Linked DNA regions of Mytilus edulis. Each later gene encodes a partner of the first gene's protein in a complex. Links are inferred from orthologs where the notes say so. Each region holds a gene or a part of one and is shown on either strand. Other genes may lie near its edges. The genes, in order: eukaryotic translation initiation factor 4E-like, eukaryotic translation initiation factor 4E-binding protein 1-like and eukaryotic translation initiation factor 4 gamma 1-like.

What was found.
Region 2: the proteins of eukaryotic translation initiation factor 4E-like (region 1) and eukaryotic translation initiation factor 4E-binding protein 1-like are in contact, whole or in part, in a crystal structure (PDB 4UE8), measured with the Drosophila melanogaster proteins. The link is inferred for Mytilus edulis from reciprocal best matches to the Drosophila melanogaster genes eIF4E1 and Thor. Residues at the interface, in NP_001261626.1 of Drosophila melanogaster: Lys80, His81, Pro82, Leu83, Met84, Tyr91, Ile107, Thr108, Val113, Glu114, Trp117, Ser118, Leu119, Tyr120, Asn121, His122, Ile123, Lys124, Pro125, Tyr135, Leu174, Asp175, Leu178, Cys179, Ile181, Gly182, Glu183, Phe185, Asp186, Ser188; in NP_001285588.1 of Drosophila melanogaster: Lys51, Leu52, Ile53, Tyr54, Arg56, Phe58, Met59, Lys60, Leu62, Arg63, Ser65, Pro66, Leu67, Ser68, Gln69, Thr70, Pro71, Pro72, Asn74, Val75, Pro76, Ser77, Cys78, Leu79, Leu80, Arg81, Thr83.
Region 3: the proteins of eukaryotic translation initiation factor 4E-like (region 1) and eukaryotic translation initiation factor 4 gamma 1-like are in contact, whole or in part, in a crystal structure (PDB 5T48), measured with the Drosophila melanogaster proteins. The link is inferred for Mytilus edulis from reciprocal best matches to the Drosophila melanogaster genes eIF4E1 and eIF4G1. Residues at the interface, in NP_001261626.1 of Drosophila melanogaster: Lys80, His81, Pro82, Leu83, Met84, Val113, Trp117, Tyr120, Asn121, Leu174, Asp175, Leu178, Ile181, Gly182, Glu183, Ala184; in NP_001137857.1 of Drosophila melanogaster: Tyr605, Trp610, Pro612, Lys619, Gln620, Tyr621, Arg623, Leu626, Leu627, Leu629, Arg630.

Annotation. Positions count from the first base shown.
Region 1 is NC_092352.1:11,379,186-11,389,863, reverse strand, and holds the start of eukaryotic translation initiation factor 4E-like, read left to right. Parts: upstream 1-6,570; 5' UTR 6,571-6,651; coding exon 6,652-6,687; intron 6,688-7,509; coding exon 7,510-7,715; intron 7,716-9,121; coding exon 9,122-9,185; intron 9,186-10,678. UniProt on the Drosophila melanogaster protein: Recognizes and binds the 7-methylguanosine (m7G)-containing mRNA cap during an early step in the initiation of protein synthesis and facilitates ribosome binding by inducing the unwinding of the mRNAs secondary structures.
Region 2 is NC_092352.1:10,080,095-10,090,496, forward strand, and holds eukaryotic translation initiation factor 4E-binding protein 1-like, read right to left. Parts: upstream 5,019-10,402; 5' UTR 4,874-5,018; coding exon 4,735-4,873; intron 2,904-4,734; coding exon 2,739-2,903; intron 725-2,738; coding exon 684-724; 3' UTR 29-683; downstream 1-28. UniProt on the Drosophila melanogaster protein: Repressor of translation initiation that regulates eIF4E1 activity by preventing its assembly into the eIF4F complex. Hypophosphorylated form competes with eIF4G1 and strongly binds to eIF4E1, leading to repress translation.
Region 3 is NC_092356.1:41,477,684-41,488,489, forward strand, and holds the start of eukaryotic translation initiation factor 4 gamma 1-like, read left to right. Parts: upstream 1-6,339; 5' UTR 6,340-6,396; exon of another isoform or gene 6,397-6,472; intron 6,473-6,533; 5' UTR 6,534-6,609; coding exon 6,610-6,683; exon of another isoform or gene 6,684-7,306; coding exon of another isoform or gene 7,307-7,328; intron 7,329-8,223; exon of another isoform or gene 8,224-8,233; coding exon of another isoform or gene 8,234-8,258; intron 8,259-8,436; coding exon 8,437-8,465; intron 8,466-9,269; coding exon 9,270-9,364; intron 9,365-10,157; coding exon 10,158-10,301; intron 10,302-10,705; coding exon 10,706-10,806. Other genes in the region: lysosomal amino acid transporter 1 homolog, read right to left, coding at 263-456.

The DNA.
Region 1 (10,678 bases):
TCTAGTATAAGTAAATAGAAACAGGGCTCACGCTACCAGGCGACTTGGGCGAAGAAGTCGCCTTCCCGACCGTCACTTCGCTTTCCCCGACCCCCAAAAGCGAAATCAAGTCGCCCTGTTCTTGACGATACTCGCTTTCAGTCGCTTCCGTCATCGGACATTTTCAATTTTTACCAAGTTGATGAAACATCAATTTTTTATTGATAATTAAAGAAATTCAGACATAAACGATTCATTATCTTTAGAAAAGAAGTTGAAGCATTGTCTTCGCAGTGTGTAGCAGGTTATTTGATAAAAATACAACTTTTTATCACTTCATGCATTTTCGCAAGTTCCGGTGCTTGTTACTCGAAAACGTACATCAACCTAAATTTCGGCGGCAAAATAAGTTTGTTACTTCATTTAAACGTGATAAAAGTTGCCTCCAGTAAATGTTTAATCCATTTATTGCATTAAAAACGTCATGTTCCTTTTCAAATAACTTGTCAAACATCGTTTATTTTTGTAAATTTTCTTGCATTCGTCCGCCATTGACCGATTTCTAAACTACGGATCTGAACCGGACCAGCTATGACCGAAATCCGTACTTTTACGATAATTACTACGGACGGACGGACGGAACAGCTGACAGAAGAATATTGATCCCAAAGGGAAAAATTACGCATTCCACACACATTAAGAGACTTTTGGTTACATCTAATTGATTCTTGTATATAATTCCCTATATTTTTTGGATTGTTTCAAACTATTGATTAAAGTTGCTTAACTCTGATACTATTATACTAATTTCAATATATTATGGCCCAGCTGAATATAACTTTTATATTTTTTTTTATGAGAAACACTGAATTTCATACACAAGATAATTTTTAATTAAATTGTAATAATTATATATTATAATTTCTTTACATTTTTTAAAATAATTTTTTTTTTAGTGCTAGATATTTAGTTGGAATAAGTTTCTCACAAGAACCTTAGTAAAACTTAAACAACTTTTAATTTCAAATGTTACTTTAATTGTATTTTTTTTACTCGGATATGAATTGAACAATATAAAAAGAACATTATTTACATATATATGGCCCTTTATACTATTGTAAAATCCAAACATTGTAGCGCACCGCACGAATGAGCACTTCTCTTTCAAATCTCACCACTTCTCCCTATCAGTTTCAAAAAGAGAAGTCACTTCTCCCTATAATTCTGAAGTAGTGTGAGCCCTGAGAAATCTATGAAATTTTAACACAAGGTTTATTGCCACAAGGAAGGTGGGGATTGATTTTAGGAGTTTTGGTACCAACAGCTTAGGAAATAGGGGCTAAAAAAGGGCACAAATAAGCATTTTTTTGGTTTTCGCACAATGACTAGTATAAGAAAATAGAAATCTATGAAATTTAAACACAAGGTTTATGACCACAAAAGGAAGATTGGGATTGATTTTGGGAGTTTTGGTTCCAACAGTTGAGAATTAGGGGCAAAAGGGTTTAAAAATTAAACTTTGTTTGATTTCATAAAAAATTGAACTTTGGGGGTTCTTTGATATGCCGAATCTTATGTACTTAGATTCTTAATTTTTGGTCCCGTTTTCAAATTGGTCTACATTAAGGTGTTTAATTTTAACAAAAATTGAATTCTTTGGTTTTTTTTTATACATGTATGCTGAATCTAAACATGTACTTAGTTTTTATACAACCCCAAAAAAATTTTGGGATCGTATAATGGTATGATGTTGTCGTCTGCGACGTCATAGTCCGAAGACACATTGGTTTCCAGATAATAACTTTAGTTTTATTTAATAGATCTTCATGAAATTTTTTCAGAAGGTTCAATACCACAAAAGGAAGGTTCAGATTGATTTTGGGGATGATGGTCCCAACCGATTAGGAATTAGGGACCAAAAGGGGCCCAAAACAAGCATTTTTCTACTTTCAGGATAACAACTTGTGTAGAAGTATTTCATTTGCTCTGAAATCATACTGCAATGTTTAAAACCATAATTAGAAGGTTTGGATTCATTTTAGGGGTTATGGGGCCAAAGTTTAGGAATTAAGGGCCACAAAGGGGTCAAAACCAGCATTTTTCTAGTTTCAAGACAATAACTTATGTGTAATTGTATGGATCTCTCTGAAATTGTACCAAAATGTACCATATAACAAAGGGGAGGCTGGGATGAAGTTTTGGGTTAATTGCCCAAAATATGTAGGAATTATGGGCCAAAAAAGGGCCAAAAAGAGGCATGTTTCTAGTTTCCAAACAATCATGACAATAACTCGTGTTTAAGTGTATGGATCTCTCTGAAATTGTACTACAAGGTTCAATACTGTAATGGAAAGCATGGGATTATTGCTCCAAGGTGGTTTCAAAAAGTTTGGGGGGGGGGGATTTTTTGGTTTACCATTTTTTAAAGGTCTTCCTTTTTTAGCTCACCTGGCCCAAAGGGCCAAGTGAGCTTTTCCCATCACTTGGCGTCCGGCGTCGTCGTCCGGCGTCCGTCGTCGTCGTCCGTCGTCGTTAGCTTTTACAAAAATCTTCTCCTCTGAAACTACTGGGCCAAATTAAACCAAACTTGGCCACAATCATCATTGGGGTATCTAGTTTAAAAAATGTGTGGCGTGACCCGGTCAACCAACCAAGATGGCCGCCACGGCTAAAAATAGAACATAGGGGTAAAATGCAGTTTTTGGCTTATAACTCAAAAACCAAAGCATTTAGAGCAAATCTGATATGGGGTATAATTGTTTATCAGGTCAAGATCTATCTGCCCTGAAATTTTCAGATGAATCGGACAACCCGTTGTTGGGTTGCTGCCCCTGAATTGGTAATTTTAAGGAAATTTTGCTGTTTTTGGTTATTATTTTGAATATTATTAGCTCACCTGGCCCGAAGGGCCAAGTGAGCTTTTCCCATCACTTTGCGTCCGTCGTCCGTCGTCGTTAACTTTTACAAAAATCTTCTCCTCTGAAACTACTGGGCCAAATTAAACCAAACTTGGCCTCAATCATCATTGGGGTATGTAGTTAAAAAAATGTGTGGCGTGACCCGGCCAACCAACCAAGATGGCCGCCATGGCTAAAAATAGAACATAGGGGTAAAATGCATTTTTTGGCTTGTAACTCAAAAACCAAAGCATTTAGAGCAAATCTGACATGGGGTAAAATTGTTTAGCAGGTCAAGATCTATCTGCCCTGAAATTTTCAGATGAATCGTACAACCCGTTGTTGGGTTGCTGCCCCTGAATTGATAATTTTAAGGAAATTTTGCTGTTTTTGGTTATTATCTTGAATATTATTATAGATAGAGATAAACTGTAAACAGCAATAATGTTCAGCAAAGTAAGATTTACAAATAAGTCAACATGACCGAAATGGTCAGTTGACCCCTTTAGGAGTTATTGCCCTTTTTAGTCCATTTTTAACCATTTTTCGTAAATCTTTTGTATCTTTTACAAAAATCTTCTCCTCTGAAACTACTGGGACAAATTAATCCAAACTTGGCCACAATCATCATTGGGGTATGTAGTTTAAAAAATGTGTGGCGTGACCCGGCCAACCAACCAAGATGGCCGCCATGGCTAAAAATAGAACATAGGGGTAAAATGCAGTTTTTGGCTTATAACTCAAAAACCAAAGCATTTAGAGCAAATCTGACAGGGTAAAATTGTTTACCAGGTCAAGATCTATCTGCCCTGAAATTTTCAGATGAATCGGACATTCTGTTGTTGGGTTACTGCCCCTGAAATGGTAATTTTAAGGAAATTTGGCTGTTTTTGGTTATTATCTTGAATATTATTATAGATAGAGATAAACTGTAAACAGCAATAATGTTCAGCAAAGTAAGATCTACAAATAAGTCAACATGACCAAAATGGTCAGTTGACTACTTTAGGAGTTATTGCCCTTTATAGTCAATTTTTAACCATTTTTCGTAAATCTTAGTAATCTTTTAGAAAAAGCTTCTCCTCTGAAACTACTGGGCCAAATTTAACCAAACTTAGCCATAATTGGGGTATCTAGTTAAAAAAATGTGTCCAGTAACTCGGCCAACAAACCAAGATGGCCGCCATGGCTAAAAATAGAACATGGGGGTAAAATGCAGTTTTTGGCTTATAACTCAAAAACCAAAGCATTAAGAGCAAATCTGACAGGAAGTAAAATTGTTGATCAGGTCACAATCTATCTGCCCCTGAATTGGTAATTTTGAGGAAATTTTGCTGTTTTTTTTGTTATCTTGAATATTATTGTAGATAGAGATAAACTGTTAACAGCAATAATGTACAGCAAAGTAAGAACTAAAAATAAGTCACTATGACCAAAATAGTCAATTGACCCCCTAACGAGTTATTGCCCTTCATAGTCAATTTTTAACAATTTTGTTAAAATTTGAAGATTTTCAATAACATTTTCCACAGAAAGTACTGTTATAGATAGAGATAATTGTAAGCAGCAAGAATGTTTAGTAAAGTAAGATCTACAAACACATCACCATCACCAAAACACAATTTTGTCATGTATCCATCTGTGTCCATTGTTTAATATTCACAAAGACCAAGGTGAGCGACACAGGCTCTTTAGAGCCTCTAGTTATAGATAGAGATAAACTGTAAACAGCAATAATGTTCAGCAAAGTAAGATTTACAAATAAGTCAACATGACCGAAATGGTCAGTTGACCCCTTTAGGAGTTATTGCCCTTTATTTTCAATTTTTAACAATTTTTCGTAAATCTTAGTTATCTTTTACAAAAATCTTCTCCTCTGAAACTACTGGGACAAATTAATCCAAACTTGGCAACAATCATCTTTGGGGTATCTAGTTTTAAAAATGTGTGGCGTGACCCGTTCAACCAACCAAGATGGCCATGGGCTAAAAATAGAACATAGGGGTAAAATGCAGTTTTTGGCTTATAACTCAAAAACCAAAGCATTTAGAGCAAATCTGACATGGGGTTAAATTGTTAAGCAGATCAATATCTATCTGCTCTACAATTTTCAGATGAATCTGACAACCCGTTGTTGGGTTGCTGCCCGTGAATAGGTAATTTTGCTGTTTTTGGTTATTATCTTGAATATTATTATAGATAAAGATAAACTGTAAACAGCAATAATGTTCAGCAAAGTAAGATTTACAAATAAGTCAACATGACCGAAATGGTCAATTGACCCCCTAAGGAGTTATTTTCCTTTATAGTCAATTTTTAACAATTTTCATAAAATTTGTAAATTTTTATAAACATTTCCACTGATATTACTGGGCCAATTCATTATAGATAGAGATAATTGTAAGCAGCAAGACTGTTTAGTAAAGTAAGATTTACAAACACATCACCATCATCAAAACACAATTTTGTCATGAATCCATCTGCTTCCTTTGTTTAATATTCACATATACCAAGGTGAGCGACACAGGCTCTTTAGAGCCTCTAGTTTTCAAAATTTTTCAAATTTCAAATTTAAAAAAGTTTCAAGAAGAAATCTCCAATTGCACAGTATTGTGCAATAGATTTGTTACATCTTTGACTACATTAATTTTGTGACAAAAACCTATATTATGTCAAAATTTGATCACAATCCAAATTCAGACAGAATCAAGCTTGAATATTATGACCAAATTTGCCCCAACTGTTCAGGGTTCAACCACTGGGGTCGTACAAAGCTGTGCCCTGTGGAGCACCTGGTTTGATTATGGGCCCAGTTTTCAAGTTGGTTCTAATCGGGGTCCGAAATTAAACTTTGTTTGATTTCAACAAAAATTGCTCAGTATTACACAATAGCAAGAAATCTTCAATTGCACAATATTGTGCAATAGCAAATATTTTCAATTGCACAGTATTGCACAATAGCAAGAAATATCTAATTGCACAATATTGTGCAATAGCAAGAAATTTTCAATTGATTGGAGTTATCTTTCTTTGTTCAGAATAGTAGTTGAATCAACTTAAATCATTGTTTTATACAATATACAATGTATATTCACTTTTACTACCAACTGATAAATTAAAACAATCTTAGAAATTTGAATTGAGATCAGTTTTGGAAAAAGGGAAAGGGGAAAGGGGGATGTGAAAAAAAATGGGGGGGGGGGGGGGGGGGGTACATTTTTCTCATTTCAGATTTCATAAATAAAAAGAAAATTTCTTCAAACATTTTTTTGAGAGGACTTATTCAACAGCATAGTGAATTGCTCAAAGGCAAAAAAATTTAAAGTTCATTAGACCACATTCATTCTGTGTCCGAAACCTATGCTCTGTCAACTATTTAATCACAATCCAAATTTAGAGCTGAATCCAGCTTGAATGTTGTGTCCATACTTGCCCCAACCGTTCAGGGTTCAACCTCTGCGGTTGTATAAAACTGCGCCCTGTGGAGCATCTGGTTCAAATCTTTTATGGTGAAAAAATTATAATCACATGTGCAATTTTATTGTTTTGTTAATGTTTAAATTGTAGAAGAATCTAAAGATTTAGGTCTTGATAGATTGATGTAGTTCAAAAAAACAAATTTGGTTAGGAAGTAGGACAACCTACGGTAAGTTTTTCATTCACATGTCTAGAAATGATTGTCATGCCCAGAAGGGATATTCTTGTCAGGTCACAGTGGTTGGTATGCTGGTACATCTGATGTTCAGTATATAACTGTCTTACACAGGATTATAATATGCTATACCACCTGAGTCTTGGCTCAAAAATACGGGTAAGAGGAAAATGTTTTAAAGAGGTATTTTGGGGAATAGACTTATTTAACACCAAGGAATTTTGACAGCCAGTCTAATGTATGTCTATTAAGATTTTATAGCTTTTTCATACATATTTTCTTTTTGAGATTATGATTTATAGTTATACATTTTTTATATCATTTTTGAAAGGTCTTATTTAAAAAGCTCTTAAACCCTAAAAAGACCTTATATTCATACAGAATAAAAGACTTTTCTTTGTCAGATTTTAGTATTATTTGCGAAAAGTACTTATTTCATATGTGTTTCTCTTTTATAAGTTGTATAAAATTGCATTCATGGATTACTTGAAAGTTACAGTAAGATAAAGTTATTTTCACTTACAAATAATGAATTATGTATGCATTTATTATTTTGTTGGATACATATGCATTTGTAGGTACAGAACAAAATATAAAATTTCAATTGAATTATTTATTTCTTGTCTTGAATTGAAATAGAGACTTTTTTTTTTTTTTTAATTTGAAGGTACACAATGTAGAGCTATTTTGTAAATATTGACAAAAGAAATAAATCTGCTGATTTTGTTAGACATTGCTTTAATTCATTTCTCCATAAATGAAAAACTCTCCATGACTGTATTTCTTTACTTTTAAATGAAAATTTATTGTTATGAAATGGAAAGTTACAGATGACAAGTGACTGTGATTACAAAATTCTGACATGGAATTGAGGTCTTCAACCTTCTTGGGAGATTTATTTTTAGTTCATTACTGGCCAAATTTCAAATGGACATGGTATTCATTCTGAACAATAAGATACTATTTACATTTATATTTCAGGAGTTACGGAATGACACAGAAGAACAAGTTGATGAAGTAGAAGAAGTTGAAGGCGAAGAAGATGAATCTTTATCACCAGAACTCTTAATCAAACATCCACTTCAAAACAAATGGGCCTTGTGGTTTTTCAAAAATGACAGAACGAAAGAATGGACAGCGAATCTAAAATTGGTTACGGCATTTGATACTGTAGAAGATTTCTGGGGGTAAATTATATATTTATTAGTTAAAATTTTAATTTAAAACTTAATTTCTAGTAGAAGTGAAAATAGAATTTAAAAGTTTATAGAGCAGAGTATTAGTTCTAATTGTTTATTGCGTAATTTAAAAAAATAAATTTAAATGGAAATTCCATATTTAGAAAAGAAAAAAAAAGTACAGTTATTAAGATAAGGCTGTGCATAAAAGTGATTTTATAATTATACCATACTCCATAGGTGGGGGTTTATACACATTTACTTATGTCTGCCTGTCTGTTTTTCCATCCATAAACTTCTGGTGAACCACTCGCTTATCAATGAATGGCCATGTCCCATTTTTCAAATCAAAGCTTCTTAAAATTGGTATCAAGCTATTTGTGAGCTATTGCTATATTCTATTAAGATGTAAATAAATACATACAGGTAAATATTTTGTGAATTGTAATTATTGTTTTAGTTAGGAAAATTATTTTAATATCAATTTTAGAATATTAAAATCTTATTAGCATACACAGTCTTTAAATTGTTAAAGCTGCATCTCTATAGTCAACAAAACAAAACGAAAAATTTGTATTTGAAAGTGCATGTTTTTTTCATTAATGTCAAATAAGTTTTATATTAGAATTGCATTAAAAGTAAAATTTATTGTGAAGTAAAATGAACACATGAATGCACTGTAAATAAAATAAATATTAAAGCAGTTAGTATTTTAATTAAAATGCAAGTCACAAGTTATTTTTGTGATGGTTAAGCATGAAAACTGAGAGTAAAGGTATATAGTAGGTATTAAAATAGAATTTATCTGTCAGAAATGGTTGTGTTGTGACTGGGTTGTCAACATTTGATGGATTATACCATTTAGTGTGACATGTCTTCTAGCCCACTAACCTATAAACAATTATTTTGTTTATTGCACAATGATGAGGAAATCTTGCAATCAATAATGTCCAAATATGAATTATTGTAAAATACTGATATTGGAGCTATTTTAACATGTTTAATGACAGAAGGCTATTATAGGGAAATGCTTGTTTTAATATGTTATATTTATTTATTAAAATTTCAAACTTTGCTAGACACACCCAGAAAAATAGAAAATTAACGTCATGTCATACCCATGATGTCAAGGATATCTGTATTATTATTTGGATGCTTATTTACATTCCCTACCACCCTTGCCTCTTGGTAAATAGAGAAAAAGAACAATTAGTAGAATAACAATATAATCATGTTTCTGAGTTTGAAGCTCAAGTTTGAAGTCAAACTTAACCCGTAATGTTGTTTGGTTATATTAAAAGACATTCAATTTCAAGTTGAAGATTGTAATACATTTACATTTCACTTGGACAATGTGTTTTGTAAACACAGATAATTTATTCTGATTTTAACATGTACAATGTTGATAATTTTAGATTATATAACCATGTACAGAAAGCAAGCAAATTACCCTCAGGCTGTGATTACTCATTATTTAAGGTAAATATTGAAGGAAAAAGAAATTATTTTCTTGTTAGCTTTTATTACATGTATAATTTAACTCTATATGTTATAACATCTACCAACCTGTTATATGATGATAGTATGTGCGTACCTGATCAGATAACATAGTCTGTCATATTTAAAGATCTACATACTTACATTAGAATTTTTTTCAATATAAAACATACATATATTCGGGAAATGGACTACTTCGAGCAAAAAAATAAGTCTGTATGATACGGAGAGTAATCTGAGACTCAAGTCACAACCACAATGTCTAAATCTAGTAAACAAAATGTTGGTGCCAGTACTGAAAAAAAGCTTTTTATTATTCAATAGAACAGTCAGGACTCTACTTCGTCAAAATTATCTCCCCATTACGCCAGTTCATTTTCACATTCGTAGAAATGGAAGCCATTGTAGGGATGACACGCTGCCAATTTTGCTCTTGGCAACCGACAAATTTATCCACATTGCACCATTACGATCCTTATATGTCAGTTGTATTTTTAAAGACAAATGTATCAACTAGCTAATGAGCATTAGTTAACGATCTATTGTCTGATCGGTTGTCAGGTGGAATTTTCGAAAATTCATAAACATTAAAAAAAATTTGAATTAAATATTTCCTGGAAGGGCAGACTAGATTTGTTTAGTGATTGAAGACTATAAACCCTAGTTTTCACACACAAAAAATTATAATTTTTCGAAGATATGCATTTTCATCATCCAACTTGAAAGACTGTCGTCAAGTACTTTCAGTAAAAAATAGCTATTCGAACACACCTACTCTGTTTTTGTGATTCATTAGATAGGTATTTCACTTGACCCATATATTTAATCTTTTAGTACTGTGATTTTTTTATGTTATAAAGTCGACCTGTAGCTTTGATATATAAAAATGATAGAATCTGAAGCGAGACGATGTATGAAATATTCTTACTTTGTACGATATCAAGACAAAATATTCAACTCAAACACGCCCGAACATAAAAAGGTGCACTCGATTTTCTCTTTTTGATGCAATTGTTACCCATTTTTTGAAATTTTTTCTTGAGTCACATAATGGAAGGGCAGACACGAAAATTACTGAACTAATAGATTGATATGTTTTCCGTCCGTGGTAATTTTTTTTTATGCATTTTCTACATCCAACTTGAAAGATACCCATGTCGTCGACTTGATATCTAATTGTTCTGCTTACCTATGTACTAAATAAATTGAAAACTTATGCAAATGGTGTTTTCAAAATAAAACACTTCATAATTGAGAAGAAAATTGTAATTTTGTTTGTTTCTATTAACTTTTAAAATTTTTGTCACTATAGTAAACATTACAGTAAGCATTTATCGCCTTCTCTAACAAAGAGCTTCAATTCTTTTGTTCTATTTCAACCTGGTTTCCGACTGAGAATGGTCTCCTTTTGCATGATTCTTAGAAATCTTAGAAACAGCCATTTCTACAATTATTAGATGCCACTATTTAGACAT
Region 2 (10,402 bases), about 1.3 Mb from region 1:
ATGCACTGGTGAAGAAAAGCTCACAATAAAATGTTTACAAACTTTATTAAAACAATAGATATCATAAAACATGACTACATATCTCTGAAATCACACCTTCATGATGTTACCCGATTCCTTGCAGAACTGTTACCCAATTCCTTGCAGAACTGAAGTATTGTAGACAGATTATTTAGAAAACAAACTGATTATCAAAACTACAAAACTTCAGAGACATTATATAAAACAAGAGTTATTATTATGTGAAACTTGACCAAATTCATATTATTGCTGAATTATCATTCCTTGTGTATACATTAGTAAAACCTAACAGTAGCACTTTAATCTGAACACATGATTTCCATTCAAAACAAGTATTTTTTTAGCACTTAACAGATTCCAGTATCAATCTTTTGAGACATACAGTGTGTGAGAACATTCTGTTACCACTTCTCAACAGCCTAATAACAATGCCTAATAAGGATGTGTCGTCTGCCATGACTCTACTTCCTAAAATGGACTTGTCAACTGCTGTGACATGTACATGTAACAGTGTCACTCATTTACAACTATCCTAATATCAAATAGATCACAGAAAAATAAGAAAATAAGCTCAGAAATCGTCATTATTACATGTATGATGTTGCTAAATAAGGAAAATATCTATAGAAGATATGTCAGTGAAAGGCATCATGGGTAGTGATTTAAATGTCCATCTCAAACTGTGGCTGGTCTTCATGTGCTTCTAAAAAATAAAATAACGGGTTTCAAACAAGGTACATGTTTTAGTGATATTATTGCTTTTAACTACTTAAAAGTGATGCCATTCTTGTTTTTTGTTTCTCTGTAGTAAAATTAACTTTGTCTGCAACTCTACAACTATCCTAGTATCAAATAGATCACAGAAAAATAAGACTACAGTTATGATATTTAAGTGGTGAATGAATTTTTCTTCACGCTATTTATTTCATGATTGATGTTGGCTTCAGCATGTTACATCATGGTAGATTCTTAGTTGTCAATGTTACAATATGATATTGTTTATGTGTGTTGTTTATTAACAATCATATTATTTGGATTCTATAGTGCAAAAGGCTATATGGTAGTGAGATATCATTTTTAGAGTTTGACAAATTCATGAACTACATAAAAAGTCTACATTAATTGCAGTGGAAAATAGTAATTAATAGTTATATTAATGTTCTGTACAGTGTTTTAAAAGTATTGTGACTGCACTTTGGAAATGAAAGTGTTGTACAATGTTTACAGTTTAGCTGTTTTAATGTTGAAAATACATTTCTGTAGAGTTTAGTTACTGCAATGGTTAAAATAAATTTCGAAATCCAAGTGTAGTTTAGTTACAGCAATGGTTAAAACAAATTTCAAAATCCATGTGTAGTTTAGTTACTGCAATGGTTAAAATAAATTTCGGTAAACATGTGTAGTTTAGTTACTGCAATGGTTAAAATAAATTTTGGTATACATGTGTAGTTTAGTTACTGCAATGGTTAAAAAATATTTCGGTATACATGTGTAGTTTAGTTACTGCAATGGTTAAAATAAATTTCGGTATACATGTGTAATTAGTTACTGCAATGGTAAAAATAAATTTTGGTATACATGTGTAGTTTAGTTACTGCAATGGTTAAAATAAATTTCGGTATACATGTGTAGTTTAATGATGTGAAATGATAACACAATATTGACTGCTGAATACCCCTATTTTTGACATTTTACTCTTGAGTATGTTTGTTTTGTTCATGCATCGTTGACAATGTAATGGAATTTGATGCGACTGTCATACAAGTGAGAGGTTTAGCTAGCTATAAAACCAGGTTCAATCCACCATTTTCTACATTAGAAAATGCCTGTACCAAGTCAGGAATATGACAATTGTTATCCATTCATTTGATGTGTTTGGACTTTTGATTTTGGATTTTCCTTTTTGAATTTTCCTCAGAGTTCAGTATTTTTGTGTTTTTACTTTTTAGTTATTGCAATGGTTAAAATAAATTTGGTATACATGTGTAGTTTAGTTACTGCAATGGTGTTAAAATAAATTTCGGTATACATTTGTACATGTGTAGATCAGTTACTGCAATGGTTAAAATAAATTTCGGTATACATGTGTAGTTAAGTTATTGCAATGGTTAAAATAAATTTCGGTATACATGTACATGTGTAGTTTAGTTACTGCAATGGTTAAAATAAATGTCTGTATAGTTTATTTACTAGACTGTTTCTATCATGCTAATGTGTCACTGTAATGTAACAGCTTTTAATCACATGTACTAAACAATTTGAATGACTGTTCTAGTAAGTTAATCATGACCAACAAGGAAGATTTTCACTGAATAACCTTGTGTGTGTGTATATTGTATATGTTTACACCCCTGAGGACTATCAGTATTTACTATTATATATAGTAAATATATATATCAATACGACATGGGTTGTTGCTCATTTTGGTGACCTGTAATTAATGTTCCATCTTTTGTCAAGTGGTCTTTTATACACTGTATATTTGTCTCATTGGAAATCATATCACATCTCCTAATTTCTATTATATATATTTAAATTTAGCAAATTCTGTTCCTTAACTTAATGTAGATTCATCACAGTCTTTTTATAATAAATTGAGCGGAAGTGTTAAAATTACATGGACCTGTTAAATTTTTACAAGTATTCTAATCTCTTACTTATAATAACAGTTCGACACAATTATTTTTCATTTCATCTTTTATTTAGAATGTACTTACTATTTTTCTGAGCTGGGATATTTTCTGTGCCATTTTCTTTAGGGACATCAACCTCCCCAGGACAGGTAACCCCTGGAATCTTTGCCATATTTGGTGGAGGACTTCTAGTTAGTGGGGAGTTCCTACACTGCATCAAGAAATTCCTCTCATAAAAAATCTTTGTTCCTAAAAATGAAATAGGACGATCTCAACTTAATAAAATTCATAGTACACACATTATGAAAACTCTAAGTTTTAACCAAAAAAAATTTTTAAAAAATTTACTCTCCTTGACCATGTTGACTTGTACCAACAAATGCACTTACCAAGGCAATCACTGGTCATGATCATTGTCATTTTTCAGCATTGCTTATACATGTACAAACAAAAACCAGTGTGTTTATTATTATGTAAATAAACAGTGAAGAAATAAAAGAAAATAAAATAGAGATTTCTTACAAATTTTTGGTCTGACAAAAGTTATCTATTAACCTGTCCCTACTACTAAAGAGATAGTGAAGTACCGTAAGCCTTGGCCAGTAAGGAGGTGTTCACCGCAAGGATACATGTACATAATTACATGTTTCCCACAAGTCAGGTCAATGACATGTACAGTATATGTATAATCGTGTACATTTGTTCATAAACAACAACATTGCATACTCTGTCAATTTGTTATTTAAAATCAGAAAATTGAAAATTGAAAACATGCCTGGGAAAATACATGTACAACAAAATTTCTTTAAGTAATGTTTATTTCTGCTTTATTTATTTTCCATTGTTCAAATCAATGAATGATATAATAGTAAAATGACTCATGAGAAATAACAGATGTTAACACTATACCAAATTTCATACTCAAGGGTGAACCTGAATAATATTAAAAAGTTTTTATTCATGTTTACTCATCGGTCCACTACTTCACTTTTAGACTATCAAATAATTGTCATATCAGAACTAGAGAGAGAAAAAAAAACACCTTGCTCTGGTTTAAATCCATGTATTAATACATAAATATATATAAGTAAGCAGATCAGGTCAATGACTCCTGTTTTAATTAATCAATGAGGACAAGTGTTGCAATTTGTTATTTAAAGAAATGATAACATATCTACTGTACAATTACATAAGGTACATGTAGCATCATGTACATGTAATTACTCAATAGCATGAACAGATAAATATTCAGTTTAATACATACACATTTATTTACAATTTACCCCTAAAAGACTTATGACCAAATTGATGCATCATTATGTACCCACAATACAATGATTGACCTATATATATATTAAATTACTAGGTCAATCTATTTATAGTTGAACAGAGTTCAATAAGCAAGTTTGAGGGGTTGAAATTGTTGCATCATTACTATTTAATTTTGTGACAAAACAAAGTACATGTTTCAGATAGTATGTTTACTCAAATAACTGTTACTGTTATTACATGTATGTACTAAATTTAACATATTTAATCTATTCTATATACACAAATCCTACATGTACATGACATGTCAAGCCCCAGTTTGGTTATTAATAAAAAGATCTCTTCACAGCACAATTATTCTGAAAAGGCAAAACTCTTAAATTTTACATTAAAAACATGTATAGATGTAAATGTATATAAAAAATATACTATAGTCTATACAAATCCTTGATGTATAAAATATTGTTGTTGACATTTTATATTATCTTTTTAGTATACACAACTTGTTGCCACTGTGTGTTTGTACTCTAAGGATAATCATATTCAAATGTTAACTAAATAAACATTACAAAACTTTACGTTGGGCTGTTTATGAGGCAGAGTTGCTGTGACCTAAATCATGAATGACATAATATGGGTCACATGGCTGCAAAAACATTAGTAAGTCGCCATTTTGAAATAAACATGCTTGTTTACAAACAACAAAATCTGCATACTGTATCACAACTTATATCACTATTCCAGACATGCATTTGCAAATAATATCTTAAACTGGAAATAAATAAAACTATAAAAGAAGACATGCGCTCACCTCCTGGAGTTGTAGAAAATAACGAACCGCCTGGTGTCGTACTGTAATCATTTGGGAGCTGTGATAAATCGTTTAACACTACTCGTCTGGGAATACTCTGTCCTTTAACATGTTGTTGAGGAGACCCAGATTTTGACATATTAAGATTAATTAACGAAAAGTGTTTAAAAATACGTCCAAGCCTTGTCTCCTTCACTTCTGTCTGTCTGTAGAATGTTGTACTCGCGTTAACCTCCGACCAAAACACAAACAAGTCACATGGCAAGTTGACCTCGTAATTTCCGACGAACCTACGGAGGTAAACGAAGTGGTCATCTTCCTTGTTTACGTTGTATAGTTCGTGAGGCGGTTGAATTTAAAATAGTTTATTAATACTTGAAATAGAAAAAAAAAATTGTATTGTATTACATTATATGATCTTATATGTCTCTCATAAAAATAAAAGCACATGTCTAAACACTATTAGTCCCAATTACTTACACGAAATTAAAACAAAGAACATTAGTACACAAAGTATTTCAATGATTACATTGTTGTTTTATTGATCCCTATCAGAAGCATGGAATTCATTGTATATTTTAAAAATATACCATTCCTTGGTAGAAGTTATGACAGTTATTGTCCTTGAAAGACACAGGCACTAGTCTCTCAGAAAAAAATTTCCTATAATCAGTAACCCGAATAATTCAGTCGTTATATTCCGCTGATCTACGAAGGCTACATTAACGCCTGAACGTCTTCCTCGATCAAGACCGTCAACCGGAAAATTCACACCCCTTTGCAATATGGGAATTTTGATTTAAATTGGCAGCTAAAGAAGGAGGAGTTCCGGATGTTAATTGATGATAAATGATGTAAACTGATGTTAATTGATGTTAATTAATTATTATCGGATTTGTGTTAATTGAACACACGTGTTTGGTAAGACAATTTCAAGAGAGTTGCGCCGACTCATATCCTGATCGCCGCTGATTGGCTCTCTCTCACAGAGAGCAGGCGACGCGGCCAATGATCACAAAGAGTTCAAGCCTTCGTGTGGGAGAAAATCGGACACGGAAAGGGCTTGAATTATTCGAGTTATATAATCAGAGACATATAATACATATGTCTCTGCTATAAATTAATATACCTTTTTATTAACCAACTAAGTGCATTATTTCCAAAAGTGACTGTTTATTAAAAATTACATATGTTCTGTAATGGCCCTGTTTTTTTTCTGTAATGGCCCTGTTTTTCTGTAATGACCCTGTTTTTTTCTGTTACAAATGGCCCTGTTTTTCTGTAATGGCGCTGTATTAATGCCCAGTTTTTTATTTTGTTCAAACTAAACTGTCATTAAAAGAGTAAGACAGTACATCAAGTTAGCAGCAACACATACACTTTTGTACAGTTGGTTAATAAATGTATTATATAAGAAATGGGTGTTTTTATAATGGCCCTGTTATATGTCCTCGGTCAGTAATAATGGCCTCGGATGTCTGTAATAGCCCTCAGCGTAGCCTCGGGCCATTACAGACTTCCTCGACCATTATTACAGACCTTGGACATATAACAGGGCCATTATAAAAACACCCATTCATTAACGATCATTAATACTATAATAATATAACACTTTTTATAACACTTGTTATATTAAGGTATATTATTATAGGAAACAAATTCCTGAGACAAGTGCCTGTGTTGAAAGACTATATTTGTTTCAAATTTTATGATTTTCATTCCAAAAACTATGACCGAAATACAGAACATTCAACGACACAAAAATGTTATCAGTGGCGGATCCAGAACTTTTCCTAAGGGGGGCCCGCTGACTGACCCATGTTAAATTCCATAGGAAATTAAAAATGCTGATTTTGAGTTTTCCGCCATTTAGAATTTTATGGGACTTCTGTGTATATCATTTGTTCTATACTTTATTCCATTTCTAGTGAACCTCAATTTGTAAGCAGATTTAATAGTGGACATATTTATTTCGTAAAATACGTAAGCCCATATATCACATGTATTTAAATTCTCCCTCGCCCTGCTCGTCCGAATTTAAAGCATTTAATTTCTAATTCAATAGGCTATAAACAAGACAAACACAGATATAGGATTAGTTGCTCGCAGTAACATCTTATTTTCTCTTGCGATACAATATTTTATTTTACTGAATTGTACATATTTCTTCAATCGAAACATTATATAAACACATGACATATAACATTGTTCCTCTTTCGCATCGTTTCTTTTCCCCCGGCTAATGCCTCCAACGCCTGTACGTACAATAATCATAGCAGCAACTGCACATATACCTATGTGACCAACTTCAATCCGACGTAACTGCGAGCACCTTCGATACTAATACATTTAAATCCCAAACTTTATATAGTACCTTTAAACCCCACCCATAAAAACCGCCAAAACTTTCCTCGTGCCTCCTGCACCTAACATCAAACTTATGTATATGTAAGAGAATGATAATCCCTTTCTTCATGGTTAAATGTAAATGTAAATCCTATAATGTTTTGGAAAAGAAATTATCTTTTTTTAATTACAGTTTCAATCAATAAATAAATTTCAGTTACAGCAAATTTTATTCCTCAGTCAGTACTTCAGTAAAACAATTTTTTATTATATCTGTGAAAATTTCTAATAAAATGCCTTCAAAATTTTTAATCTTAAGGTGGTACTCAACACCTTGACTAATATTAATTTGGCTCGTTTAATTTTCATAAAATTTTGACAAAATGTTTACTTTGACCCTTTTACAAAAATATAAAAATTTCAAAAAAATTTGGACCAACCATTTTATCAGAAAAATTTCATTGGTAATATTGCAGTTTGAAAAACACTAATTTTGATCATTGAGAAGCTTTATATTTCCTTAACAATACAACGTGATTAAAACGCTTAGCTGATTTTACAGAGTTATCTCCCTGTAGTGTTAGGTACCACCTTAAATCAAATTTCTGTTTTTATGAGGGTTTTTTTATCGGAAATTATTACTCTCTATTGTTTATTTTTAGATAAATTTATTGAAGCTAGTTATTTTCATAACATTATCATCGGGGCACAAATTTTACTGCAGTAGTAAACCTCTTAACTTATTTTGATTTTTTATTTGTTTCACAATGCAACTTTTAGTCAAATCCAATCACTGTTATAATTCATTTCAATCAGGTAAATCTGCTTTAGGGCAGTTGTAACTCATTTATAGAATCTCTTCGTTTTGAATTGTAAGTAGGTTTGCACAATAGGATAATCTCTTACTAAGAACATGATTTACATTCATTCTTCACAATTAAGAGACACCAAATTCTACAATATCATTGGTCAAGAGCACTTTGCCATATTCTAAATAAATGATATATGACGTTTATCATTCATGCGAATTTTCGCATATTTTAAAGTCTTTTTTAGACCACAAAAATTCCCGCAAAAGTTATTTTGCGAATAATTTGTTACGTCTGACACGCATATTTTTGACGTTTTGGCAATATTTGTATCATTATTTGAAACTATTATGAAAAGTTAAAGAGTATTTTTTTATATTTTTGGAAACAGTAATACCTGCCTAATCAATGGATATAAATTTCATAAAGCTGAACTATTTAGATTTCATAGAAGAGCTATTTATCAAATTGCTCTGTCGTATTTCACGGCATTGACGCAATAACGTGCTTAACGTCTGTGCAATTGAATATTTCTTATTGAAACTTTTCAAAATTTGAAATTTGAAAAATGTTGGAAAAAAAAATCCCTTAAAAAAATGGTAAACTGAGACCCCCCCCCCCCCAATTTATTGAAACCCCCCTTGGAGCAATAACCCTAAACTCAATCCCATGCTTTCCTTTGTAATATTGAACCTTGTAGTACGATTTCAGAGGGATCCATACACTTAAACACAAGTCTTTGGAAACTAGAAACATGCTTCTTTTTTGGCCCTTAATTCCTACATATTTTTGGTAATTAACCCAAAACTTAATCTCAGCCTCCCCTTTTTTATATGGTACATTGTGGTACAATTTCAGAGCGATCCATGCATTTACACACAAGGTATTGTCTGGAAACTAGAAAAATGCTTGTTTTGGCCCCTTTTGGGCCCCTAATTCCTAAACGGTTTGGACCATCATCCCCAAAATAAATCCCAACCTTCCTTTTGTGGTATTGAACCTTCTGAAAAAATTTCATTAAGATCTATTCACTTAAACTAAAGTTATTATCCGGAAACCAAAGTGTCTTCGGACGACGACGCAGACGACGCAGACGATGACATCATACCATTATACGAACCCAAAATTTTTTTGGGGTCGTATAAGGGAGCTACCATTTGATTTTTATGGGGGGGCTAGGATGAAATTTGAAAAAAATAGGCAGGACAGGAATTTTGAGTAAAAAAAAAAGGCAGGATGAGACACTTGCAAAAAAAAAAAGTCAGGATGACAATTTAGGTAAAAAAAGTCAGGATAAACTAAAAAAAAAAAAAGGCAGGACCGAACAGAGTGAAAAATAAAAAGGCAGGACAGAGATTACAACTAAAAAAAAATGCAGGACAAAATTTTTCATCCTAGCCCCCCCATAAAAATCAAATGGTAGCTCCCTAAAAAACAAACACATCAGACGAACAATAAAATACAAAACCAACATAAAAAGCTGAAGACTGAGCAACAAACCCTACCAAATAACAAGCCCGGTGTTGAGTTTAACTCGGTAGGTCACATTCGTGGGAAAGGAGGACAAGGTTGTGGTTAAGACAATTGGAACATTTCCGACATCAAACCTTGATTGCGACAAAGATCAGCTTCATAAATCAAAACTCCTGGTTTAATAGCTTCCTTGTGAGATGTAATTATCTATCAAGAAAATCACGATGGGGAACACCAGTCATGGACTAGCGTATCAACTGGCCGGGGAGATATAAACTACACATACATGCGCTGCTCAGTGGAATGTTGCTACACAGAAATGGAAAATTCACAATTGGGTATCTGAAATCATTACTTTTACCGTATTGTCCCTCAATATCAATACCTAAATGCAAGTCAAGATATGTGGCAGATTTAACTGTAACTATTGTATCCTATATACTTCATGTTCAATGAGATAGATGCCGCGTGACAGTTCAAGATAGTCGATCAAACTTTCAATTATTTAGTGAGAGGACACCATCTATATAGCAGAAAGTAAGTTGAAGAATGATAGTATCATTTCATTCTCCCTTAGAAGCTCATGTATGAAGTCAGCCACATATGAATAAATGAAACAGTCGACAGAAGAGGAGCACAGTTAGATTCCATGGGAGTGCCGATTGTTTATTGAAAAAAATCGTCTTCCAGGTGTAATACATATGGTGTCAATCAAGAAATCAAGCTTCTTCATAATGTAAGTTTTAGATAATTTTTCTGTTAAATTAGACTGATATTTTACAACTTTTAGTGAAAATATTTTTTCTCTATAACAAGATACTTGTATCTACGTTAGTCATTCTTTCTTGATGAAATGAAACAAAATGGAATGGAGAATACATGTGTTAAGTGTAGAAAAGTCAAATGTTGTAATAATATTGAAAGATGAAAGAATCTTAGATTGAATGTATGGTTAACAGATCTTTGGATTTTTAATATCTGCGTCTGATTCACGCCGCCATTAGAAAAGGCAGTTTCACAAAACTTTAAAAACTGGCTTT
Region 3 (10,806 bases), on another chromosome or scaffold:
AGACTGTGTCCTATCACTCTTTCATTTTTAAGAAAAATAGCATGTCAAATTAATCACATATAAAACTCATTATACGACACTTTATCATGTTTATTAGATAGCCAATGATATTCAAATAAATTATAAATGAACTATTACTCATTCACATCTAAATAAACCTGCGAGTACCATATTTGGTTGAAAATATTTTAAAGGCACTGGCAGACAAATAAAAATCTTATGTGAAAAGATAATCTTATTTCTGAACTCAGTTTATACTTACGGTGTACTAACAAATACCCATAATGCAATGGACAGCAATCCAAAAATATCAGATGCATATTCATTTGAATTTGTCACACAGTCACCAAGTAACACATACAACCATCGTACTCCATCACTACAGTTACCTTTTGTCAGGTTATGTATGCTGTCATAGTGATGACCTCCAAGTAACCATGGATACAAATGTGGCATGTTTAACAATGCCTGAAATAAGCATAAATTTATTAAAAGCAGATAATTATGCAGGTATTTTCACAAAAAAATTGTTTCATATTCGATACAATATCTAAGCATTTACAGCATTATACTTATACACAAAAGAGTAAACTACATTCTCAAAAGCTTTTTTTAAAAAAAAGCAGACAATGGTTGAAATGAGACATTTATTTAAATAATTTTAAAATTGTACAGATTCAACCTCCTTATCACTCATATCACATCATCTTTTCTTTATATTTTTTCAGTAACTTCATGAACTGATCATGAAGTTCCTGTATGAATTCTTCTCTGAAGTATATATACATGTAGTTGATACAGAGATATATCTAGCCTTTCTGCTTTAAAGTTCAGAACTGAAAATCTGATGGACAGCAACATTGCTAATTAATTCAAAGTAGCTGGACAAGCTAGTGGTCAGGGCCTTAAAAGAGTTGACAAATTGAGATGTTCAGACAGCAATGTAAATTTGTAAATTAGGCCATTTATTTTAATGTTTGAATTGTTTTATATTTGTTATTTCAGAACCTTTTATAGCTTGCTATGCAGTATTTGTTTTGCTCATTTTTGAAGACTGTATGTTGACTTAAAGTTATTAACTTGTTTTCCTTGGTTCTGGAGGAAATGTGTGTTGCTGATAATCAAACTAAATCTTCTTTATTTCTATATTACATGAAAAAATTCCATACTTGAAAAAAATTATATATAAACACAAGCTTTATATGCTTAACCAACATTTTTAGCAAGGAATAAAAATATTACCTTGCAATGGCAGCTGGCAAATTGGCAACTACAGTCTTAATTCAATCACAGTTTTCAGATTAGCATGGTTTTATATCCACCATTAACCGTCTAATAAAAAAAATTAAAAACAGATTATCATTTATATCTAAAAACTTGATTGAAATGGCTACTAAATCATGTTCACATTAAAATGCATGTTAAGCCATTTCAATTGATATCTTATAGTGTGTTTTCTATGTTGTGATGTTCCACTATAAACGTATTTACACTTTTGGTATTTAGCTGAATTTTGTCTCCAAATGACCGTAGATCGCCTCCGAATAACCTTTTGACGTCAAGCAACAATCACTTTTTCATGCGACGTCAAATTTTTTGAATTGTTATGTCAAAGTTTACAGGAACCTGTGTGATTCTACGTAATGGCGTACAAATTTGCATACAAGTTTAAATACGTCTATTGTTGCGGGTAAGGGTGAAGGTTGGTACTAATTAAAACGTTTAAACCTGTTGCATTTGTTTGCAGCTGTCCGAAGTCAGGGACCTGATATTCAGTAGTTGTCGTTTGTGTTTCTCCTTTTTGTTTATTTTTACACTAGATTCTGTTAGTTTTCCCGTTTAAACGGTTGTACACTTATAATTTTTGGGGCCCTTTATAGCTTACTGTTAAGTGTGAGCCAAGGCTCTGTGTTGAAGATCGTACCTTGACCTATAATGGTTTTCTTTTCCAAATTGAGACTTGGATGGAGAGTTGTCTCATTGGCTTTCAAACAACATCTTCTTATTGTGCATTCAGTTGAGAGAATTATAGATTATCTTTGATCATCTCAACGAGATTGATTTTCTCGCTTGAGCCGGGATAAATGATAATCTGTTTGTCGCTATTTTACCTATGACGACATTGTCAATTTCATGTCAATTTCATTAGTAACGCCACATGCCGCCTTAGTTTCTAGCGATAATTTTCCATCTCAAGCGAGTAGCATGATATGAAAAATTATCACAAAAAAAGATCAAAGGAAAAATGCACAAAATAGCAATAATAAATGTTAATGCAGATGTATAATAAATATTGATGACTATATATATATATATATGTATGTAAGAATGTATTCCACAACTGACTGACTTGGCTGAGACATGTGAGACTGACTAAATGGTAACCTAAAAAGTCACACCAATGGGGTTTGTGAAACAAAAATTTTGAACAGATATATCATGTTAAGGAGGGGTATTTGCGAAAAATACCAGTCGAGAGAATGTAAAATTTCTCGAGCCGTAAGGCGAGGGAAATTCATTCTCAAGACTGGTATTTTTCGCAAATACCCCTCAATAACATGATATATCTGTTTAATTACACCGAATGTTAATATACTAAAACGCATTGTTGACCGTGACGTTACAAGCGTCCAGTCGGATAGAGTATTTTTTGCAAATACCACGGCAGAGAGGGTAAAAAAGGCATATCCTTTTAGCAAATACCCCGGCGGCGTTAAAAATGAAGGATATTCATTTGATAACAGTAAATTGGTGAAAAATACTGGCTATCAACCAATCAAAACCCCGGATTCTTACATAAGGTGTAATTAACAGTGAAATTTCCCCATAACTCTTGAAGTAAGACTTTTAAAAGTAGAGAGAGAAAAGGGAGGAGGAATCTTAGACCTTTCATCAGCACTAGTCTTTGGATTAGTCAGAAATTTCTGTGTAAAGCAAATATTTAAATAATGCTTCATTTTGATAATTCACTGGCTCTTACACCATATTTCAAAAAAAAAAAGAGAACAAAAATACAACAAAACTTTGTCATTTTCATTTTAAGTATATTCTTGATTTGGTATTAGATATGTCAAAGTGTAGATACATGTATTTACGCACATTTATATATATATCTCTATTTTATTAAACAGTACATTTTTAAATATATATCTTGTGGCAAAACATATTATGCATATACATGATATAGTACCTGTGGTCAATTAAAATCAATAACAATATATTTTGGTAATTTATTACTGTACATCTATACATGTATAATGTCCTTAATTTAACTAACCATTGACCTAAAAGGTCACAATTAAATAATAGTATTCAGGTCATTATGCAAAAAATGTTCTAAATTATCTAACAAAAAATTGTTGTGGGGTTGTTTCAAAAGCCTGTTCACACATGTATAAATATACTGGTCTGGTTGCTAAATTGAGATCTTTAACAATCCAATGGTAGTTATTATTTTTAATCACTTGAAAATTATATAATATTGGGAAATATTTTTTAAATACTTTAATTTAAGTTTATGCTGTTTTATTTATTTTTTCTTTTGATACTGATATAATACAAATAAACATCTTTAGACGAAAAAAACATTGATTATGCATTTTTTATATCTTAAAGTAAAGTTAGCTACTATTTTAACTTTTGAAGGAATTTACCCCTAAAAAACTTAAACAGATCATAATGTTAGTAATTTCTATGGTTTTTTTTAATATATAATGCAAAAGTATAAGAAACTATTTACTTAGAAGGTTTTCTCCTTTTAAATCATAAAACAGCATGCTAACATTTTCTCAAATTTTAATGCATGTCATCCATTTTCCCCTTGAAATCAAAATATCTACTTTTTAAAAGATCTAAAAAAATCATATGTCATCAACTCTAATATGAAAAATATGACAATATAGATTATTTCAAGAAAACCAGTTACAAAAACCAGTTTAATGGTCTAGTGAAGACAGTTATGAAATATGACCCCTTCCAGGTCAATAAAATAACAAACCATGTAATCGAATTTTACATAATAAATCATCTCCATGCCAGGGGTCATGACCTTATGTAATTAGCTATCCTCATGCTAAGTATGTCCTCAACATGACACTTCTGTCAGTTCCCTGCCCCATGGGGATTGCAAATATACTTCCTGGAGATCTTACACTGATAAAATATTAAAATCAATAATACCCATTCATTAATTGCCTGCTAAAATATATTTGGTTAATTGTTCTAATTGTATCTCTGAAATTTGTGTCCTGCATTAGTCGTCATACTGTGAAATTTTAAGTTATTTCAAGATTGGCCAAATGGACACTGTGGAAGTACTGATAATATTGACCATATAGTTCCAGGCTAACATATTTAAAAGAGTACAAATATGGAGAGGCTGATGCAATAGTCCTGAGGGCTGTATAGCCAGTCAAGGTCATTAAAAAAAATTACAATTTCTAAAAAATATTTAATCAGACTGAAAAACAACATTAATAATAGTGAAACAGAGTTTTTTTCTCTTTACAAATTTTTTAACTATCGTTATCTGGTCTCAGCTGTGTGAAAAGTTTGAAAATTAACAATGCAAGTTTATGCAATCTTAAAATTTACTGACGACAATATTCACCTATATTCTTGCAATATCCCTTTACATATATTATAAGAAAATATATTAAATACAAAGTTGAAAATGCATTGAAATGAAATCTTGAAATGAAATCTTGAAATGAAATCTTGAAAAGTCAAAATCTCTGACCACAGACATGACAGGACCTCTGTCATTATTTGGTTTCTTAATATCATAGTTCTGACAAGACAGACATGGATAATTGCTCTGTGAGAAGAGACTATTGATATAAGCTGTCACCTGTGTTTACTTTCTTAACATACAATTCCTTGATTTTACCAAACAGTGTTGGAGAGTTTGAAGTTTTAAGCACGAAAAATTTAGTACATGTAGTACTCTAGCATGTCTAGTAATGCACAATTTTTTTTCTAAATCCTTGTCCCATGTTAAAAAAAATTTCTTATTATTAATGGACCTAATGAAAAAGACAGTCACAACCTATTTATAAAAGTATAAACTATGCAATTACATGTATTTTAAGAAGCAGCTAATACCCTTGTTGAAATCTTTAACAATGAATGGTTTGATATTGTCATGATTGTAATAAAATAACAACCATTTGTGATATATATATTTTAATTTATTTATATAATTTGTCTAAATATTAGCCTAACCAATGTTAGATTTATAAATTTGCTTTTGCAAATTTGTTGTTCTTCCCTTGTCGTGATTCAAACTCATGAGATATTGTGGCACCAAATCGCCTTGCACTATGCACAACGCTCTAAGACCACTGAACCAACTAGGCTATACAAAAATGATAGGCGGTGTTGTCATAGAAGTATGAAGTGAAAAGTACAGGTTCCAGCCCCGGCTGGGGAGGAAGAAAAGAATCAAATCTACTCTAACATCATGAACATTGTTAGGTTGATTTTCTAGGCACTTCATATATTTATATATATACACGTGTATCAACAAATCAACAACTTGCAACATAGACACCGAATCACACATGATAATTGGATCTTAAGTAATTGCAACTTATATTAGTCCCTCTCCACTTTGCCGGTGTGAGTGCTTCTCTTTTTTTGAAATCTACAAGAGTGTCTTTTATGCGGAGGCGGATTTAGAGGGGGGTCAGTGGGGCTCCCCCTTTTGAGAAAAAAATTTGGTTGATTATATAAGGAATACACCTTAACGCTATTCCCGGCTGACCCGGCCGCTTGAACTTTTGACGTCAACAACAATCACTTTTCGATTGTGGCTCAGATATTTTGTTTTATGACGTGAATATTCTACGGGAACCTATGTGATATCCAGTAATGGATGACAAATAGCGATAAGGTGTATCGTGGGGCCCCCTCTTAAGCAGCCAGTGGCCCCCACTTACGAAAAATTCTAGATCTGCAACTGTTTAATATGTGCAAGAAATATGGCTCTCTCTTAACACGGGTTAGTGCTATAACATATGACTTCACATTCTTATTCAATATTTAACGTTTGTATACTGATATTTTCATTTTTTTTTCTTTTTTAATGCGAATGTTTACGGTCTTGTGATTGTGAGTGTACCAAATACCCCCCTTTTTCTTGCACTCAACCTTTTTAACGTTTCAACGATTTCTCTTTACCTTCATCATTTGTCACTGATGTCAAAAGATCATGACAAAGAAACTCAGATTACCTTCTGTTATTATTAATTACTTTAAATCCGGAATTTAAAAAAAAACACTGACTAGTTGCAACTTCAAACAACAGAATTTATGGTAACCTTTGACCCTTGCCGGTAACCTCCGTAAAGTAACCGGAAATAGCCGAGCTACGTCTCCTTGCAGACCCTTAACAAGGTAGCCATACTTATTTACATGACTACAATCTTATGCCATCGTTGATTATCTGACCATCATAATAATCTAAAAACTAGTGAGTATGAAAATTGAATACACGAACTCTAACAAAAATGATTTTGTTTCAATTTATGTAGGAGACAGAGCTTGGGAAACAAGCATCGGAAGGGTCCTTTTCCAGGACTAAACCGCTTCCTTTTCACGTTGAATGAAATGTCGAATGTACCAAAAGTGAAATCACCTACACCATCTCAAATAACAGGACATACACAGCAAAGAAGTGTAACGTATCCTTTTTATGCATAGTCAACAATTTATTTTATGTACTACTTGGGTTAATTCATTTTATTTCATGTCAGTTTGCACGAGAACAGATGCCGGTTTTTCGTCCTGTCACGTTTGCAGTTTTCGGGACAACTTGTGTGAGAAATATCCAAGTTTATTGAACTATTGATTGCACATCTGATTTAAAATTGTGTTTTTGTTGTTTGTTTTGTTTTTTTCTGTAACATAATGTTCCGACAGCTCGTTATGAAGGCGGGGCTTTTCGAACGAGGAACCACATTCTTTGAGCGTGCACATATCACATGACATTAATTACGACATCATGGAAAAGATGAAAACACGAAACAGTGTTACAGTGTGTTATCAACAGTGTTTAGTTAAATATCAAAATGAATTTGGAAATTTTGGAATGTTTCTTGTGAATTTTCTTTAAAATAACCCTTAAATGATATTTAGGATTATTGACATGTGGTGATGTGTAATATTTGTCAGATATTGGATATTTGCCAAATACACAAATTATTAGTAGATACACAATAGTCTTTGTTATAATGATGAACAAAAGTGAAAATAATAACATACAATGGAAGCTGAATATAATGAAAAGCAACACTGATTAATAGATATGATCAAATTCCAGAAAGAAAGTAAGAATTCTTGTTTTGTTGTTTATGATGCCTTATTTATTGTACATTTGTTTGTTACTCCCAGTTATGGTTTTATATATAATTTCTTTATACCAGTAGCAGAGATATTTCTTTTTCTTTTATGAGTATTTTGTTGTTACATATTTTAACCTCAATCTGACCTGTATTTGTATAGATCTGTGTTCAGGGCATTTTATTGGAAAAACAGGCATTTTCAGAAAGTACAATGTCAGATTTATTTTTAGACATTGTCACATTATGATAAGGTAAAAAATAAGCTTTCAATTTGGAGACTACTTGGCATATCTACATGTATGTAATGTTAAGGTAATTTGAAGTTGCATCTTATGGAAGTAAAAATCGTGTTTAACATTTCCTGTTACGAATCTAACCAATCTTACCAACTTATTTTTTATGTACATACACACATGTAATTTAAAAAATGAGCTATTGGTTATTTGTTAAAAAAAATCTGATATCCAACCTCTTGAAACCAGTTTTGGGCAGTTTTTAAAATCTTGATTTTTGTTGGTTGACCTTATATGTAGTACATGAAACTGTCCCTCCCGATTATTAATCTGATTGATGGAACCTTAAAAATTGTTCACATTTGTTACCATGTCAGCTTTAAAACCCTTCGCCAATATTTAGTTCGTGTTCTTTAATCCTAAGAGAACAAAATGTCATTTTAATGTTAGATCCAACCTTATTCATTCAATGTTTTAGTTCAAGAATATTATAATATCTACAAAGTGTAAAGATGATATGTCCATGTGAATTAATGCAATTACATAACAGGTATTTCCACGTCAATAATAGTTAAAAATAAGGTATATGCACATCTGCAAATGTATTTAAAAAGCGATATGATTCTTAAACCTATTCCCTTTTGTAGCTCATGCTTTATGGGAAATTGTGTCAGTAAAAAGGGTAAGTTTATTCCCTTTGTTCCTTGTATGGTAGGGTGTCAGAGATATACTATTCTAGATTAAGAACTTGTATTATGTTGCGGGTACCAGGTTGCAAATTAAAAGCTTTGTTGTGCTAGCCTAGAAATGGGAAGATTTAAATATTTAAACTCATAGTCCTTTTCCTTAACCTTATACAGTCCAAGAGGAACACCAAATTATAACAATTGTAAGTATATATGTTTATGGTACAGTATGGCTGCATGCTTATTATAGGATCTGCTTTAATTAGAATATTTTCATTCTTGTGGGGGTAATATGGGTTTATATTTTGTAGTATCTGGACTTGTGCTCCTGAGTAACCTACGATGAGGAAGTAACCTTTCCATCGATCTGTTACTTTGCTCCTCAACTGTCAAAAGCTTTATGTTGTCACCTGGGTATTTCAGCTCACTCTCGGTATCTGTAATTTTCCATTTTGATCTTTTATAAGACGGACAACTATTTTTTTTTTTTTTTAAATAATGGAAGCATGTATGATCGACTTTGTAGACTAAAATCATATTATTTCGGAGGAACAACTTTTTGTGCAAGCTTCACTTCAATGCATTGTAACACCAGTGTACATCATCAGATGAAGATTGCAAAATTAGTTGTTTCATTAAAACATGATGATCTTTTGTTAATGATTTATCCGTTGGCACAGCTAGACTGATAGGACATCCATACCACACAGATGTTATGGGAAGAAAATTGACTGTTAAAAAAAAAGTTTACGTCTGTCTTCTGAGTTACATGTACCACATACCCATACCCACCAGCTCAGGATTAAAAAAATCTCTATAGGCCAATAAATTGAACTTCATGCCCAGGGCCAATGGATTCTAAAGTTGTTCAAGATTCTGCTACATACATAGAATATGTGTGTATTTACACATGAGGAATGACCCCTTGCGAGTTTGTGATACTTGTATGTCTCGCAGACATTGTCCAAAAGATCAATGAAATAATGTTAAGGCATGATTTGTTTTAGGGGTACCACAAGAGGAGCAAGTACAACAGCAACAACAGCAGCCACAGTTTTACATTTCTCAACAAGGGTATTTTAATCCACAACAGGTGCAACAGGTATGTATCGATGTGTATATTTTGTTAAGAGCTGATTGCATTGAGTAAGTAGGTAAAGGTAATAACTTTGGTTAGCTTGCTTGCTAGCTGAACCATAGCCATTAGTAGGTTAGGTAAACCACCCTTCTTTAAGAGTAGACTAGTCCGACATATAACCAATCTATCTGTCTGTAGGACACGGCTACTAACAAAGGAGGGTAGTATATTTTAACTAATTATGACTTCACGCTTAACCACAAGTCCTACAGCAATGGCTTGTGAAATTCTTCTCTTCACGCCAACAAAATCCAACTAAAAATTTGTTAAAATTGAGCTTCAGGCTTGTGGATTCAAATGTTTAGCATGAAGACTGGAGCAAGTAAGCTAGCTAAAGATATTACTTTAACTTACACACTCAATGCAAATAAAATGTATTTTTTCGTAAGAGAAGCATTGAACTTATTATTTGTATTTATTATAATTTTTATGTACTATTTTGCCATTGATGTTTAACACTTGATTTAATATTCAAAAGTTAGCAGAATATATTTATATGTAATATTTGTACTAAATGAGACAATTACCTTTTTTTGCTCATGTGTGAATTGTAAGTTGTACTGTGCATAAAAATTAGAAAAATATGCACTTATATTGGGAAGCTCTTAATTAACATCTTGGATATAAATTTCAGTTTTCTACTCTAATCTATTTGATGCTGCATGATGGGGAAAATATGAAAAAAATAACGTGTTATCGCGTATGAGATAACTGTCCACCAGACCAAATGATAAAATGGGTATCTACTTTTTTACAGCAATTTCTTCAACAACAGGTGAACCCACAACAGAACTATCCCCATGATATAAGTAAACAATTGAATAATCAACAGTTGGTACAAGGCCAAGCCCTGGCTCAGCAACAAAACATGTATCAACAACAACAACAAAGGACACCAGCAGTATGTATATACATTTGTAGCTTACAGCATAGTTCCTTGCATGGTCTGCTCTACAGTAATTAAATTGCTTTTATGCTTTTGGGCAGCTTTTTAAATCAAGATAAAATATTTTAATTTTACAGAAAATTACTTTGCAAGATTAATAGTTTGAAGTTTAATACATGTACATGAATTATGACCTTGAACTAATTATTCCTCGTAATCATTTTTGTACAATCTGAATCAAAGGTTTATGTCGTGCAAATTGGTAAATATTATTCCAAAAAGAAGATATTTTGCATTCACAAGTTTGTGCATTATATAAAACCTCTTCTTGACAATATTCATACAAAAAATCTGTAAAACAGACCAGTCATTTCAATTTATCGACTCTTGTTTATCATTAACACTGTTTATTATTTCAGCCCTTTTACCCACAACGGCCTATGCAGCCTCCTCAACAGCAGAGGATGCAGATGCCAGGACAGGGACAGAATCCGATGTATCCAACTGTTATGTTCATGCC